Nothobranchius furzeri: one gene and its partner. The protein of the gene in region 1 interacts with the protein of each later gene in a pairwise test. Links are inferred from orthologs where the notes say so. Each region holds a gene or a part of one and is shown in the gene's direction. Other genes may lie near its edges.

Evidence for each region. The genes of interacting proteins can lie anywhere in the genome.
Region 2: the proteins of erlin1 (region 1) and fa2h interact in binary tests that used the Homo sapiens proteins (3 or more experiments, as listed by UniProt). The two-hybrid records come from large-scale screens. The link is inferred for Nothobranchius furzeri from reciprocal best matches to the Homo sapiens genes ERLIN1 and FA2H.

Annotation. Positions count from the first base shown.
Region 1 is NC_091752.1:23,926,792-23,934,609, forward strand, and holds the start of erlin1 (erlin-1), read left to right. Parts: upstream 1-3,202; 5' UTR 3,203-3,279; intron 3,280-4,113; 5' UTR 4,114-4,123; coding exon 4,124-4,242; intron 4,243-5,989; coding exon 5,990-6,071; intron 6,072-7,818. Other genes in the region: inhibitor of nuclear factor kappa-B kinase subunit alpha, read left to right, coding at 1,679-1,728, 1,849-1,948, 2,144-2,197. UniProt on the Homo sapiens protein: Component of the ERLIN1/ERLIN2 complex which mediates the endoplasmic reticulum-associated degradation (ERAD) of inositol 1,4,5-trisphosphate receptors (IP3Rs).
Region 2 is NC_091744.1:84,883,557-84,891,362, reverse strand, and holds part of fa2h (fatty acid 2-hydroxylase), read left to right. Parts: intron 1-4,781; coding exon 4,782-4,924; intron 4,925-6,243; coding exon 6,244-6,344; intron 6,345-6,503; coding exon 6,504-6,676; intron 6,677-6,921; coding exon 6,922-7,174; intron 7,175-7,806. UniProt on the Homo sapiens protein: Catalyzes the hydroxylation of free fatty acids at the C-2 position to produce 2-hydroxy fatty acids, which are building blocks of sphingolipids and glycosphingolipids common in neural tissue and epidermis.

The DNA of each region.
Region 1 (7,818 bases):
CTGGTGCTGCCCATTCCTAACGGCACTAGATACAACATTTTAACTTAAAGAACAAACCAGTCTTAACTCCGCTCCTATTTCCTGTTTGAAAAATACACCACAAGGAGGTGTTGCCTGGCAGACCGAGAGGGCAAACCGTTAATAAATTCACACACACACACACACACACACACACACACACACACACACACACACACACACACACACACACGCACACACAACATTGTAACATCATATGGAACCAGCTAACATCAAAGGGTACATCTTAGCCAATAGCATTTGCAGATTTCAATTCAAATGTCGTGCAGAGTTTTTGGTTTTTACCTGTAGAGAGGGCAACACTGACAGCTTTCTGTCTGCTTAGTAATGCATTACGTAATATGGTGAAGCAGTTGTTAATACTTCATTAAATACTTTATTAATTCTTAATAATGCACCAAGTAACATTAATAAAGGGGCCCTTAGTGTTACCCAAAAGAAATACAGTATATAATAGAGTTTTTAAAGTTGAGGTCCTCAGAGAAATTTATGTTCCTTTTTAAATTCCATCGGTCCACATTTGTGCTGAACATGAAAATGGTCTTTAACCCTGATCGCCCACATTAGCCACCAAAATAAAATAAGTGGAGCATGCCCTGGTTGGAAAAAGCCACACAGACCTATGTCACACTGTAAATTTGCATTCTTGGACACCTTAGCTCACAACCTGGAAGGCTGATGTTGATTTTTGCAGCCATGAGAGAGCAGAGCGTATTTCTGCTTGTAGAAGCTAACTGTTAGCATTAGCAACTCTACAACACGGCAGAACTTCTTCAGGCTTGTGTTATTTGTGGAGATAAAACATCAATGTTACAGAACAAATGGAGTCAGTGGTAGAGTTGTGTTGCTAATAGCCAATCAGAGAAGAGATGTCAAAAATCCTGAACCCCCGTTCAGCTCATGGGTCCCCAGAGCAAAGAAAACATTAATGGAAGTGAACAGGGCTATAAAAGGTATTTTCTGGCCCGCTTTTACACACGCTCTGAACTGCACATTTGTTGTACTTCAATTTAAATAAAAATTCTTGATGTGTGATTCAAATTTCTCACATGATTAGAGATTTCTTAGCTTTTGGAAATTCGTATTTAAAATGACGACAAATCAGACGTTGCATTTATGATCACCACAGGATCTCTTCTCCCCCATCATAGCTGATGCTTTCCACATGGCCAGATTTATAGTTCTCCACATTTAATGCTGTTTCTGTCGTCCTGGATAGAGATTCTAAGCTTGCTAAACTCAACGCCATTTTCTTCTCCTCTTCTTTGTGTCTGGTTTCTATGACGTCAATTTGGTGAGACAAGCATTAGTTGTCTGCTATGTCTTTTCACACAAAACCTGAAACAACCTTTCACCTGTCAAAATAAGTGCTTTCTTGGCATCAAATTGTTTCTTTAAAATTCATGGACATCATGGCACATAGTAACTTTTATCAGCTCATAGACTCTCATTTATGTATTTATTTATTGCAGAAGGACAGGACCCATGGTCCAGAAGTACACTCCCTATAGAGATCCCACTCTCAGGGCTCATACAACAGCACATTTTTTAAAATGCCCTCTTTAAAGCTATAAGCTAAGCAGTATTAATTGTAATCAGGTTATTCGGGAGCTAACACAGTGTGTTGCTTTGTTCTTAGGCTCAAAGGGATTCTTTATCTCCGTCATTTACACAACAATCCACTGACAGGTAAGATCTGTTCAAGACTTGCGTCACTGTCTCAAGTATAAAAGTAGTACAGTAAAATGGTAGTGTGGAGTAAATGGTCCCATCAAAGAGTTCTGTTCTTTTTTTTCTTTCTGTTTTTAGTGAAACTGTTTCTCAGTTGCTTGATGACAATCAGCGTTATATGGCTCAACTTACGTCGCTGCTTCAGGATGCCACCCAGGAGATGGAGCACAGTGTTATGGTACTGTATTCAGTTACAAATCGGTGTGCTAATTACTAGTTTAAATGCAGATCTAAGAATTACTAATAAATGCACTTTTAATCTGAAATATAAGGAATTATGGTTAATTTTTATTTGAAAGAGTTAATTGCTTATCTAGGTTTCAGAATGGTATGTTTACTACTGCTGTAACAGAGACGTTTTCTGTCTCTCCAGGATCAGGATTGGAGCTGGATTCAGTTTGGAGCAGTGAAAGTAGACTCCCAGTAGCGGAGAGTTTTTATACAGCTGATACTTTAACAAGTGCCTGTTTAAAATCTGAAAGCGTTTGTTTCCAGATTGTGTCATTTATAAGGTTGCATTGCTGTAAGGCAGTTCTGGATGAAACAGCATCACAAACTCAGCTATGCATGGTTTAAATTAAACACATTTGCAAAATGTTCAAAGGTTTATCTGGCAATAGTAATAATAATATTTATTTTTTGTAGTATTGATTTAAGTTGAACTGTGCTAATGATAAATTGTGCATGTGAATAAATTTGTACAACTGTATGGAACATTTACAGTGCTTTGACTCTCATAATATATATTTTAGTGCAACACAGTTGAACATATTTATTTTTTATCTCATTTAATTCAAAAGCAAAACAGATGAAATTGGCTGCTCATATTTAAAATTTTAAGTGGGTAAAAAACAAATTCTGAGAAAATGTATAAAAGACTTTGGTGAAGAGACAGCTGCAGGTGAAGATTAAAACAAACTCAGTTGGGCAATTTGCATTAACTGAAATGCTGATTGAATAATAAAAAAACAAAGACATTTTGATTATTTCAAATGTCCAGTTTGACCAGGAAGAGAAAAAATATTGATCTTTCCCTCAATTCTATTCATATTCTCTCTCTCTTTCATGGCATTTTTAGTCAATATTTATTTTCATGTGAAACATGGTTTTGTCTTTTTTTTTATCTTTTTCAAAAATAATTTTTTTTAGTTTTAGTTTTTGTGAACGCCACATGATTACTGTCTTGAGAGGTGCTGTATAAAAGATTGTTTTCTTTCTTTCTTAATAAATGTCAAAACAGTGTTTTTTGTTTAGTTTTGTTATTTTTACACCGGGGAATTTTGTAGTAGACATTTTCACATATTTTGTATTAGAATTTTTTTTCATTTTGACTAAGATAAATATTTTTGGACTAGTCAGGTTATTTTATGTTACAACGGCTTTCCCTAAGTTTGACACGCTCCCACTTACGGCAGTCTTGAAACCTGAGGGAGGGGGAGGAGTCGGGCCGTGGGCGGGGCATGGGTCACTGAATGATAAGATCAGAAGTGGAGACGGCTCGATACTGTGGTAAATTTATGTCAACATTCAGCAGTTTATTTTAACGCTCAAATGGCTACGAGTGTATTTGAGAACACTAAACATGTCGAGATTTATTTGCTTTGTTCTAGCAGCCACGCAAGCTACTGTTAACTTTAAGCTACAAGATGCTAACGGATTGACTGACTTCCGAGTCCACCCGATACACACAGCTAGCTGGCTAGTTAGCTAAGCCTGCCAAATTCGCATACCAAAGGAATAAGTGTCCGGCTTTTGAATTTAATTGGTGATTCTGCCGATTGAAATTAATCTATTCTGCGCACATGATGCAATGTTACTTGACAAAATTATTGAAAATATTTTCCTTTAAATATCTTGAAGCAAATCATGTTAGCGTTAGCCCAGACTACTGTTTACTCGTGTTTCAGTCAGTGAGGTGCTTCTCCGACTTGAAAGCACCTGTTTGAGCAAATCAGGATATATTAAATTGAGAGGAGAGCAGAAATAAATAATACAGTGGACTAAACGTGGTGGTGAACATGATTAGTGGCATATTTCATTTAAACTTAAGTGTTACTTTGAAAAAAGTAAAGTGGAATGCTGTTTTATACCAGATAACGTTCAGTGCATTGATTTTTGTTTGACTATTATTATTAAAATATATAAAACTTTTTAAGACTTCATTATGTTCAGCATGGAAACAGACTGCAGCAGCAGTAGGTTATTACTTAAAAATAAACATTGGTTTTTATGTTTTTGTTGCTCACAGTTAACAGCATATTTATCTGACCAGAGCCATCGTGCCTCTCCCAGTAGAGAATGTTGTGACAACATTTCAGTGTTTGCTTCACTCTTTGCCTGCAGGTGAGGTCAAATGAGGATGACGATGCCGCACGTGGGGGCAGTGTTTGCAACAATAGCAGGAGTGATGGCCATCATGTTGCACTCCTCTATTCACAAGATCGAGGAAGGACACCTTGCTGTTTACTACAGGTATCTCAAAGGCAAATTTATGGGCCATTCCCATCCGTACCGGGTCGGCCCGGGCCGGGTAGCGTAGGTTGTTTACATATCTGGGTGGCCTGGTATTTTTCTGGGCCAACCAAGGCTCATTCTCAGCCCTCTTCTCGAGGGGGTCTGCTTCAGGCCGACCAGGGCCAACACACCCACTGCTGACAGCAAATTCACACCTTCCATTAGAGCAAGCCTCTGCTTGGTGGGTAGAATCAGCCCACATGGGCTTAAGGCAAGGATATGTGGAATCAACCGGGCCAGGCTGGGGCCGGCTGGGGCTACCCGGCCTGGGCCGACCCGGTACAGATGGGAATGGCCCACTAGAATCCCTCGTCGTTCACATCATTCTTCCACGAAATAAGACATTACATGTTCTCATGGTCTCTTCTTTTTTTCATATTTGAACAACTTTGTTCAAATATGTTCAAAAATTCATCATGTGTACAGATGTTTGTTTTTATGATTTATGCTGTGTTGATTGATTGATTTGATATTGTTTGTGATCATCTAATAGTGTATTCTACAGTTGAGTGCTGCTGGGTGTTAATGCTAGACAAACCATGTATTTGCAAGTACATGGACATCGATAAAAACAGCCTGACAGACATCATATTCAAACGTTTACGCTCAAATAGTTAATCATGACTCACAGTGCTCAAGTAACATTTTCTTTAAGGTCTTATTTTTACTGTTAGGTTATTTGTGTCACTATTTTTTGCTTACTATCCACCTCTGGCAAAAAAGCAGTTTTTGTCCATATCTGAATGCTGTTTGGATGAGACCGTCTCCTGGATAACTCCACATCAATTCAATTCAAGTTTATTTATATAGCACCAAATCACGACAAGAGTTGTTTCAAGGCTTTTCACATAATAAAATATTCCAATACAGGTCAGTTCATTAAGCCAATCAGAAAAAAGTTTCCTATATAAGGAACCCAGCAAATTGCATCAAGTTACTTACAGGTGTCAGTGACTTTACAGCAATCCTCATACTAAGCAAGCATTTAGCGACAGTGGAGAGGAAAACTCCCTTTTAACAGGAAGAAACCTCCAGAGGATCCGGCCTCAGTATAAGCAGCCATCCTCCATGACTCACTGGGGTCTGAGAGCGTTGCTAGTGTCAGTTCAGACATAGGACCATACTCACCGGCTAAATGTGTGGAACTAATATATACGTGAACCCTTTGATCTATTCCACATCATGACAATCTGCTCTCCAAAAAATAAAAACTTCCACTGCTTTGCTATTTCTGTCTTTAGCCCGGTACCCTTTCGAGGTTTTTCATGTTGTCACAGATTTTATGTGGCTTTATAAAAAGGGTAAAAAATGTCCCCTTCGACATCCAGTCTGGGTATCAAGAGTCCGATTAGCACCTGCCCTAACGTCAGAGCTTAGTTCCGTTCTGTTTGAAGGTATTTGTGATGGAAATACATATTTAAGCAGAGCGCCTCAGACCCATAGGCACCAATGTAAAATACATGCTTGTTCTTTGGCTACATCACATAATGTCAATGTTAAGTCACAGTCTACTGTAGAATACGCTATTCTACATTTATTTTACATTTTAAGTTCATGCCTTCTGTTATATATATATATATATATATATATATATATATATATATATATATATATATATATATACATTTATACATTTATTTAGGATAAAATTGCAACACCATAGCACCCTTAGACCTTAGATAAGCCTTTTTTGTATTTGTTTCAGAGGTGGCGCATTGCTGACATCTCCAAACGGTCCAGGATATCACATTATGCTGCCTTTCATTACCACCTACAGAGCTGTGCAGGTAAATTCAGACTTCAGATTTTCCTTTCATTTCTGTCGCACACGGATTAGCAACATTCCACAAACAGGCTGGGGAGCTACAACTGAAGTAGTTCTGTTTTACTCAGACGAGGCACTATTTTTGTCTGTTATAGAATGAAAATTAGAACAAAAGTTAAATAAAAATAACTGTTCGATAAAACTTTATTTAGCAGATACATTTCAGAGATTTAACATAAGAGGGTGTTATTATAGAAATATATGGATCCACTATCATTAGTGGTGCAACGTATAAAAACAACTCACTAGAGTTGGGCATCGTTTGATTTTGAACGATTCCGATTCCAATTCCTCGTTTCGATTCCCGATTCCGATTCTTTCAAGACATGACATGCTTTACATGAGCCAGCTAACCACAGGTCCTACTTGATGAAATAATCTTAACTTCAACGTGAATTGTAACGCTATGAACAACAACATCACTTTCATTTAGACTAAAACATGTTTTGGAGAAAAAAAGAAAAAGACTTGCAGCACAATCAGTGTGTTTGTTTCTGACCACAACCAAAGTAAGAGTAAGATTTGGCCTCTGGGATGAGAGGCTAAATGTCTCCAACATATCCAGAAACGTCCGGCTGTTTTCAGCTAAAACTCTCAGGATGATCATGTCCAGGATGACTGACCCCGGGTTTCCACAGGAGCCGTCAGCAGCACGTTATTGCAGCAGCACGTCGCGTAAGCTGCTGCTTGGCCCTTCCCACGAGACGCGAAGCAGCAGGGGAGCAGCTGTCACCGACCGAGCACGAAGTCACACGAGTGACTTCGTCAGTAAACACAACAACAAGCAGGAGAAAACTACAACATGGCTCCAAAATGTTTGTGTTTTTATGTTCTGTCCGTTTTATAATCGCCAATACGGACCTGAAAAACAAAGGAGACCGCTAGCAAGGTGATAACTTCTCATGGGGCCGCACAGTTAGTAACTTTTTTAAAAGTAAAGCAACCGGAAGGCAGTACGTTCTTTATTCTGAAAATCTCGGTAGCTTCTCTCCATTTCCGCGTCCGATTTCCTGTCTTTCCTTCCCCAAAAATGTCGAACTTGACCCGTTTCAGAGGCGTCGCGCGTAGAAAATAGAACCGGCGCGTAAAGGCCGCGACATGCTGCTCCTGAGACGCGGCCGACTTGCGCTGCTGACGGCTACGGTGGAAAAGGTTCTGTTGACCACAGCGGTTCCTATCAGCAGCTATGACGTGCTGCTGCAGTAACGTGCTGCTGACGGCTCCGGTGGAAAGCCGGGGTGAGAACTACACCTCCATGCTGCAGCAGCATTCAGTCAGAACAGGAAGTGAAACTTAAATGTAGCTGCTGTAGGTAACAATCTAACAGATTTTAAACATTAAAACTCTCAGCTGAAATAGTTCAGAAAGGAAATTAAAATGTTCACAACTTTGTGTGTGATTTATTATTATTATTATTATTATTATTATTATTATTATTTATTGTGGCAGAAGCTGGTGTGGTCCACCACAGAGAAGCTGCTCTAGCATTATGACTTTAATTATTCTACAGGTTGTTGTTCAGCCTTCTGACACACACACACACACAGACACACACACAAGTGTTGGTGAGCAGCTGCGTCTGACTGCTGACGCTCCGTGTGTGTTTTTATTTCTGCAGTGAGACAAACTCACCTCACACCGTCCAGTTTTTTTTTAAAGCTTCTATTAAATCCACCGTTTGATGTATTTTAACAAGTTTCCTCTACACT
Region 2 (7,806 bases), on another chromosome or scaffold:
GTGCTGCCATCTGATGCAGGAAAGATACTAACCGTTCCACATGCAAAACTACTCCGTTAACCCTTAAACCATCATTTTACCGTAGGGAAGTAGCTCCTGTGGTTTTGTTAACAGCATGACTGTCAATTTCATTTCTTTTTTTCCTTTACATCCAAAACTAAATGTCAGATTAAGGTTTGTTTTCTGTCTAGTGACTGATGACGAGGCGAGCAGCCGCTGCACTGAACCAACGTTTCCTGCTCAATTTTTTCTTTTGTTGCAGCACAAAACCACAAACCATCGATTGACAAATGGAGGCAGCTGATCTCTGACCAGTTTTTGTTTTGACTCCAGACGCACCACGTCAAACACAAGATGCTCCAATATATATTTGCAATTCCCAAATTTCTGAAGAATGAAACATGCATGCTTGTTTGATTCTGATTGGATGCTTTTTAAATCATAACTGAAAATGTGCAGCTAGAAAAATGCAAACTCTGAAAGTAAATTAATATTTTTTGCAGGAAAAACAAATGGAACATTTGAGAAATTTTAATGATAGAATAAATTGACAGGGTATCCGCAGGTCTTTAAAAAGTCTTAAATTCTTAAATTTGCTTTTCCAAATTTAAGGCCCTAAAAATTCTTAAAAATTACAAAGAATTCTTAAATCCAGTTTCCAAAGGTCTTAAATTACCAAAGACCCAATAAACAAGATTATTTTATTTCTATAACATTTTCGTGACTTTCTAGTTAGTGTTCAGCGTTTTTTGTGTACGATGTTGGCGTAAGCGGAACCGTACACGTTCAGTTGGTTGTGAAAGGGGGCTATTTTTAGATGAGCACATTAGCTGGTTAAGCTAGTGCGGGGGTCGGCAACCCGCGGCTCTGGAGCCGCATGCAGCTCTTCCATCCATCTGATGCGGCTCTCTGTGCTTGTAAAATAATGAATGGATATTTAAATAAAATGCTTTATATTTTACTGCATTAATTTTACATCTGTAAGCCAATTCTAAATGTAAAGATTGTCTGCGTAAACCTGAACAGATGTAAAGATTGTCTGCGTAAACCTGAACAGGTCCAACCCGGTCTTACTGTGAGACCGGGTTGACGGGTCACGCTTGTGTGTAATCATAGGCGCTTTCTGAGCTGACGAGGATGTGAGATTCTCCTCAGACGGCTCCTGGATGTGTCGCCACATTGGACAGGAACAAGCACTATTCAGCCAAAGTTTCATAATCAGGGAACATTTTCTAAGTGACAAGTCTCTCTGAGAGACAGGGTTTGGAAAACACTCGCTTCAGTCGGAGGAATCTTCCTGCATGCGCCCTGGTTCTGCGACGCGCTCCAAGCCCCTCTCCACATATTCAGCTCGCTGTGTACCTTATGTAGTACACGCTGACAGCGAGCTGCGCTGAGCAGTGTCCAGCTCAGGTGTTCAGATGGGAATCATTTCTTGAGTGATTTAGCTACATCTGCAATGTGCGTAGAATAAAGTGTCAGTTCGTCTGCATGCGTCGGGGTAATTCTTTCTATTCTTTCTCCGTCAAAATAAACGGTCAAATACGGGAACTATCCGGTCAACACAACACAAGCCCTCCTTTTAACTGTTCTGTTTTCTGGTGAAACTTGTTGCAAAGAGATATAATTTAACTTGATTAACACCAGAGCCAGGCGCACTGCGCCGTTATCTCCGTCACTGTAAATGAGGGAAAAACAAATTGATCGGATCCTTTTCTGACCTTCCCCACCTACAAAGTTTAATTACAACAATCAAACGTGACAGAGCCTGGATTTGTATTCTGAACAGTCTAAACATGTTTTAAAAAGAAACGTATGACAAAAGTGGCACCTGCTCAGTAAAACCACCAACAGGGTGAAGAATATCAAAATATTGTAGCAGAGACAGGCTACAACTTCTGGATCCATTTTACATGAATCGTTTTATTGATTATCGTCTTATGAAAGATAACTCTGACGTACACGAGCGACCGTTACTGGCTGCTGTCACCTGTTGTGAGCAGCGCTCTGCTGTCTGAGGGTAGGCCCCGCCCACAACGCCGCGGCTGCTGCGGCTCCCAGTGTTTTCTTTACTGTGGGAAACGGCTAATAATGGCTCTTTGATGGGAACAGGTTGTCGACCCCTGAGCTAGTGGGAGCTCGCGCCATGGGGAAGTGCAAGTTTAATGGTTACTGGATGGCTAATCCCACGTTTGCGACGTGGTTAGCACCGATTTCAGGCAATAGCTGAAAATTATAGCTTAAATTTAATTTAAAAAATAGCTTAAATTTGGTCAAAGTGACCTTAAAAAAGGTCTTAAATGTGGCTCCCTTAAACCTGCAGATACCCTGATTTGAGCCTCTTTTGTAAATGAATGTGAGACTGGGAACAAGAGGAGGCAGCAGGATGGTGAAGAAGCCGGAAAATGCAGGAAATGATTAAACACAGTAGGTTCCTGTTAATGAACCATTTAGCATATTTTAAAAATGGTGACAATTTGGGAAAGCAAATCCATTCTCCAGCCCCGAAATCTGATTTGCATTTGAGCGACTTCCAATCAAATAAGCAGTTTAGGTTGGAGTTGTAGTGGAATATAGTTGTATATTCTTACACTGTTATTAGGTCCAGATATTATAATCAGAATAGGTTGTTTTTTCTTCAGGGAGTTTTATTTAAACACTTTGTATTGACTTAGAGACAAGAAAAGAGAGAGTTGGGATCGTTTAAGAATCTTTAATTTCTATAATTATAAATTCAAACAATGTACCAGGACTAAATCTCTATGATGGATGCATATGGATTTGAATGTTGAAGTGTTGGTGTGTGTGTGTGTGTGTTCAGAATCTCCAGGCTGAGGCAGGCGGATCTGGGTGTCTGATGTTTAGACTAGCTACCACGAGGGCTTCAGTAGCTCTTGACATGAAACGCCATCTTGCCGAGGCTACGTACCGTATGGAGTCTCCCGTGGTCAGATCAGGAATGTCAGGTCCTCGGACCCCCTTGGTACTGGACTGATGAAACAGTGTTGCAGCACGACAAACCCGTCTACGGATAGCTCCGGCAGTAGCGGCAGGTCTCAGCGCGTTCAGCTTTTATTGTGAAGGAACCGTCGTCTTGTTGTTCAAACGACAGAAATTCCAGCTTGACAGTTCTCAGCTTAAAAGTAGAAAAACACAGCTGGCCAGACTCTAATCTCCTTTAGTGATGATGATTTGAGAGCTGGTTGAAACTACGTTGAGTCTATGATGTAACTCCTTTGGAACTCAGGTGGAACTGAAGTTAAAATGGTGTTGCTCTGTTTTTATTAACTTAGTTGTTTATAAATCTTAGCAAATCGGAGTGGACAATTTAAGTAAACAGCCCAGATTCTGCCCTGCGACAGACGAAAGCTCTGATTGGCTGAGAACAATGTGTCATGCGTTCTTATGTTCTGTGGAATAGTATGTCTGGTGCGCAGTCCTGTTTATTCATTAAACACATAAATCATAACATTTTGATTTCACAGATCAGTCACCTGATTATTATTGATCAACATATGTTTTGATTAGCTTCATCACAAATAAAGTACTTTGACTAATTAATGAGGAGCGTTCTTCTTCTTTCTTCTGTCTCCTTTCCTGGAATGTAAACATTTAGAAACAAGCACCCGACCTTGGCGATTCATGCACGCTGTTACTGTGTGAAGGGGGCAGCTGTTAAGGGCAGACAATAGGATCTTAATAACGCTACAAGAGTGTTGCAGTGAGTGTTGATGAAAAAGCCTCGCACTCTAAAATCTTTGAGCTGAAGTCTGGATCTGTTTTCTTTAAATACCTCCCCGAGATGATTTTTGTTTCCTGATGGGTCTGTGAGCTGCAGGGTCGGGATCACGGTTGCATTGCATCCCCAGAATCCACTGATTTCCCTCTTTCCTATTCACTCTCTCTCTTTCTTTACATTTTTAATCACAATTGTCTATTTTTTGCTCATTTAAAATATTTTTAATCATTTTCTAAATGATTAGTTATATTTTTTCATTTTTGTGAAGCGTCTCGTGATTTTTATCTTGAGGCGCTATAGAAATATTTTCTTCTTCTAAAGGTAATGGAGTGCAGTGAGATAAAATGCTTTTTAAAATATTTTTCAGTTCTAATCAAATTTGTTTTGTTATGAAACTTGAACCTTCGCCAGCTGGTGGATGAATGATGGACGGTTGGAGATTTATTTAGATAGTGATGAGACGGGTAACCCACCTGTGGGCTTATCTTGCTGCTGAGAACACGTAGGTGACACCAGCGACTCGTGAACTTGTTGACGTGTCTTCAGAGTCAGTACAAGGTCACGTGACCGGGGCGGGTCTTCTAATCACCTTTTAATGAGCCTGAAACCTTTAAGTTACCCAACGTGTTTTAAGCATAATTTAAAATAAAGACCATGAAAGCGTTTGGATCATTTGATGCTTCAGGGGTAAATGTGTAAAGTTCTTATACACTCAGGTGGAGTTGGCTTCCTAATCTGGATTATTTCTCCTGATAACAAGCTCTTATTCAGCTGACTCGCATGGGAAGCCCGTAAAGATCCCGTAAAGAGAAGCTGCCTCTGGGCTTTGGCCTCAATGAAACGTTTTAACTGTTGCTGTCATTAAACTGGGCTGAAGCAAACCTGCAGAGAAACACGCACTCAGATTCAAAATGTTCACACACTTCCTGTTTGGCTGATCCTGGAAGGTTGTAACTTTCTGCCTCCACCTGCTGGAGCAAACCCTTATTCATCTCCTTCCTGGCTCTGGAGGCCCTTGTGACTGGTTCTCACACATTTCTAGGATTTGGTGGACTGGACAAAGCCCCTGGCCTGGCAGGTGGGTCACCTGGGAGAGAAGTACGACGCATGGGTTCACCAGCCAGTCGACCGACCCATCAGACTCTTTGGGAATGCCTTCCTGGAAGCCGGCACCAAGACGTCCTGGTGAGGAATATACATCAGTGTAGAAAATAGTCACATTTAACGCAGTTACGATTTTTAACAGCTGTAATATTTTAATTGTATTTTTAATAAGAAACATTAGTGTGGTATTAGTGAAACATTTTAATGCTAATTAGGAACAAAATGCAACAAACCAAACTCGTCAGCTTTATTATTAGATTTGACTCACATTCGTTATTCAGTTTGACAGAATGGGACTGACGCTGAGCCAACGGGTCAAAGGGAAATGAACCTGGGAAGGGTTAGGGTTAGATGTTCATTACATTCAAATGTATTAATTCATATTAACTAGGAGTAGACGGTGTATCGGGCTGATATTTGTCCTGAGTAAAGCCGATTTACAGTCAGGCACATCTTTGGGCAGACAGGTGATGTAGCAGAATCTCCTTTAAAAGTGTTTATGTTCACTAATGACATCGGCATAATAAATACTCTAAATCAACTTTATTTAGGTGTCTGACTTTAACACTGAGCAGTGCATAAAGTTCAGATTTAACAGTTGGTTTAATTCAGAGTGCAGTTTAATTTTGTGCATCAACCGATGTTGATAACGGTTTAGCATGAAATTAAGCTGGAAGACGTCTCGATGTTGGCCATGAAAATCGACCCACAACAATCAGCAGTATCTATCGACCATCGGCCGACCGTGTCACCTACACATCGGCATCAGCATTAGAAAAACCAATTCGGTCGACCTGTTGGTATTATTTTTAATATTTATGATTCTGGTATGAAAATTTATACATGAGTGACATTCGGATCACAGATTAACCCTCTCAGGCTCAAAATAAGTTTTGATAGAAGGATGAACAACTAAGTCCTTCAGGGTACTTCTGCGTTAAAAATGCTCATGAAATATGTGTGGAGTAACCAGGTAGGTAGGTTTTAACCCGCCTGCCTCCAGAGGGTTAAACAGTAATCATGCTGAATGTTGGCCAATTTTAATCACCAGGAAATATTTTGTGCATTTCTAGTTTAAAGCACTTCATAAAAAATACCCAGTTGAGATTCAGGCCTTTAAGGGTTTAATGCACCAGTTTGAACCCTGGAATCAGGACCTTAAAAAATTAAAGGCAGTTGTTTTCAGCTCAGAAACGCAACCAATTTTATTTTCTGAGCTTCAAAAATCTTGGATTGAGGTGAAGATTGGGATTAATGCTTCTTTTAGCTGCTGTCTGGTTCTTGAGGCCTACGTCATGAGTTGGGCACACTTTTATCTACGTGGGATTAAGCCTCCTCTTGTTGAACTCTGATTTTTCCATTTAAATAAAAACCAAACAGGTGATTTCTGATGGTTCCAGGTACTGGGTACCGGTGGTTTGGCTCCCCCTGGTGTTCTATCTCAGCTGGTACTGCTACACCACCATGGCAAAGGGCACCTCAAGGATAGACGTCACTTCAGGTAACACACCTGTAGCGTAAACACAACCTATTTACCAACCCATGTTTTTATTTGAATACCTAGACAGACCAGGGTGTGTGTGTGTGTGTGTGTGTGTGTGTGTGTGTGTGTGTGTGTGTGTGTGTGTGTGTGTGTGTGTGTGTGTGTGTGTGTTCCCAGACTTGTCCATCCCCATCCATAAGTACATGTTCCCAATGTTTTTCCTGATGGGCTGGTTCTTGTGGACTTTCATTGAATACTGCATCCATCGCTTCGTCTTCCACATGAAACCGCCCGCGCACAACTACTACCTCATCACGCTGCACTTTCTGCTGCACGGGCAGCACCACAAGGTAGAACCAGGTTCTCACAGCTAATATTGGTGTTCTCCTTGGTTCACCTTCTTACTTTCACATGCTAACACCCTGCAGATCACTGCTGTCAAACTTTTGCAATGGTTCCTGTGAATAATTAGTATAAGCACGAGTAATATTTAATATTTTATTACATTAGAAAAATAGGTTGAAAGGCTAAATAATTTCTATTTACAACCAAATAAAAATGTATTCCTCCATCATGTATTTTGTTGTCTCCACAGTCTCCGTTTGATGGCTCTCGGCTCGTCTTCCCTCCTGGTCTGGCCTCCTTAGTCGTGGGAACTTTTTATATCTTTCTCCTCAGCACGCTCCCAGAGATCCTCGGGGTATCCGTGTTCGTCGGAGGGCTGTGCGGCTACGTTGTGTACGACATGATTCACTACTATCTTCACTACGGATCACCAAAGCGAGGAACGTACCTGTACAGTCTGAAGGCCTACCATGTAAAACATCACTTTGAGCACCAGAAAACAGGTCAGCACAACATCACACTTCCTGTACCGTTTAGGTCCATCAAAAAATACTTCAAGAGTTCTTAACTTTGATTCTACTGAAGAAGTTTGGACCAAAGATATTCCTGAAAATAGGCCTGGGCGGTATGGCAAAAATGTCATCACAGTATTATTTTAAAATTATATCGGTTTTATGGTATTTGACAGTATTTTTCACAAGGCCATGATTAATAATAATAATACATTTTATTTCAAGCGCCTTTCAAAGCTCTCAAGGTCACTGTACAAGACAAAATATAAGGAACAGCAAGCAATACAAACAACAAGAAATAAATGCTAAGAGTAATTCCCAAGGGTAGAGTCGGAGCAGTGCAATGGATAATAGACTAAAAAGAGTCGATGGAAGGAGGACAGTTACAGTGAGTAAGCCAGGCGGAACGTATGAGTTTTGAGTTGAGACTTGAAGGTTGAGAAGGAGTTTATATTGCGGAGGTCAGGCGGCAGAGCGTTCCAGAGTTTTGGAGCTGAGTGGCTGAAAGCTCTGGCTCCCATAGTACAGAGACGAGTGCGAGGAACAGACAGGGAAGGTGAAGATGATGATCGGAGAGAGCGAGTGGGAGTGACGATGTGGAGGAAATTAGAAAGATATGGGGG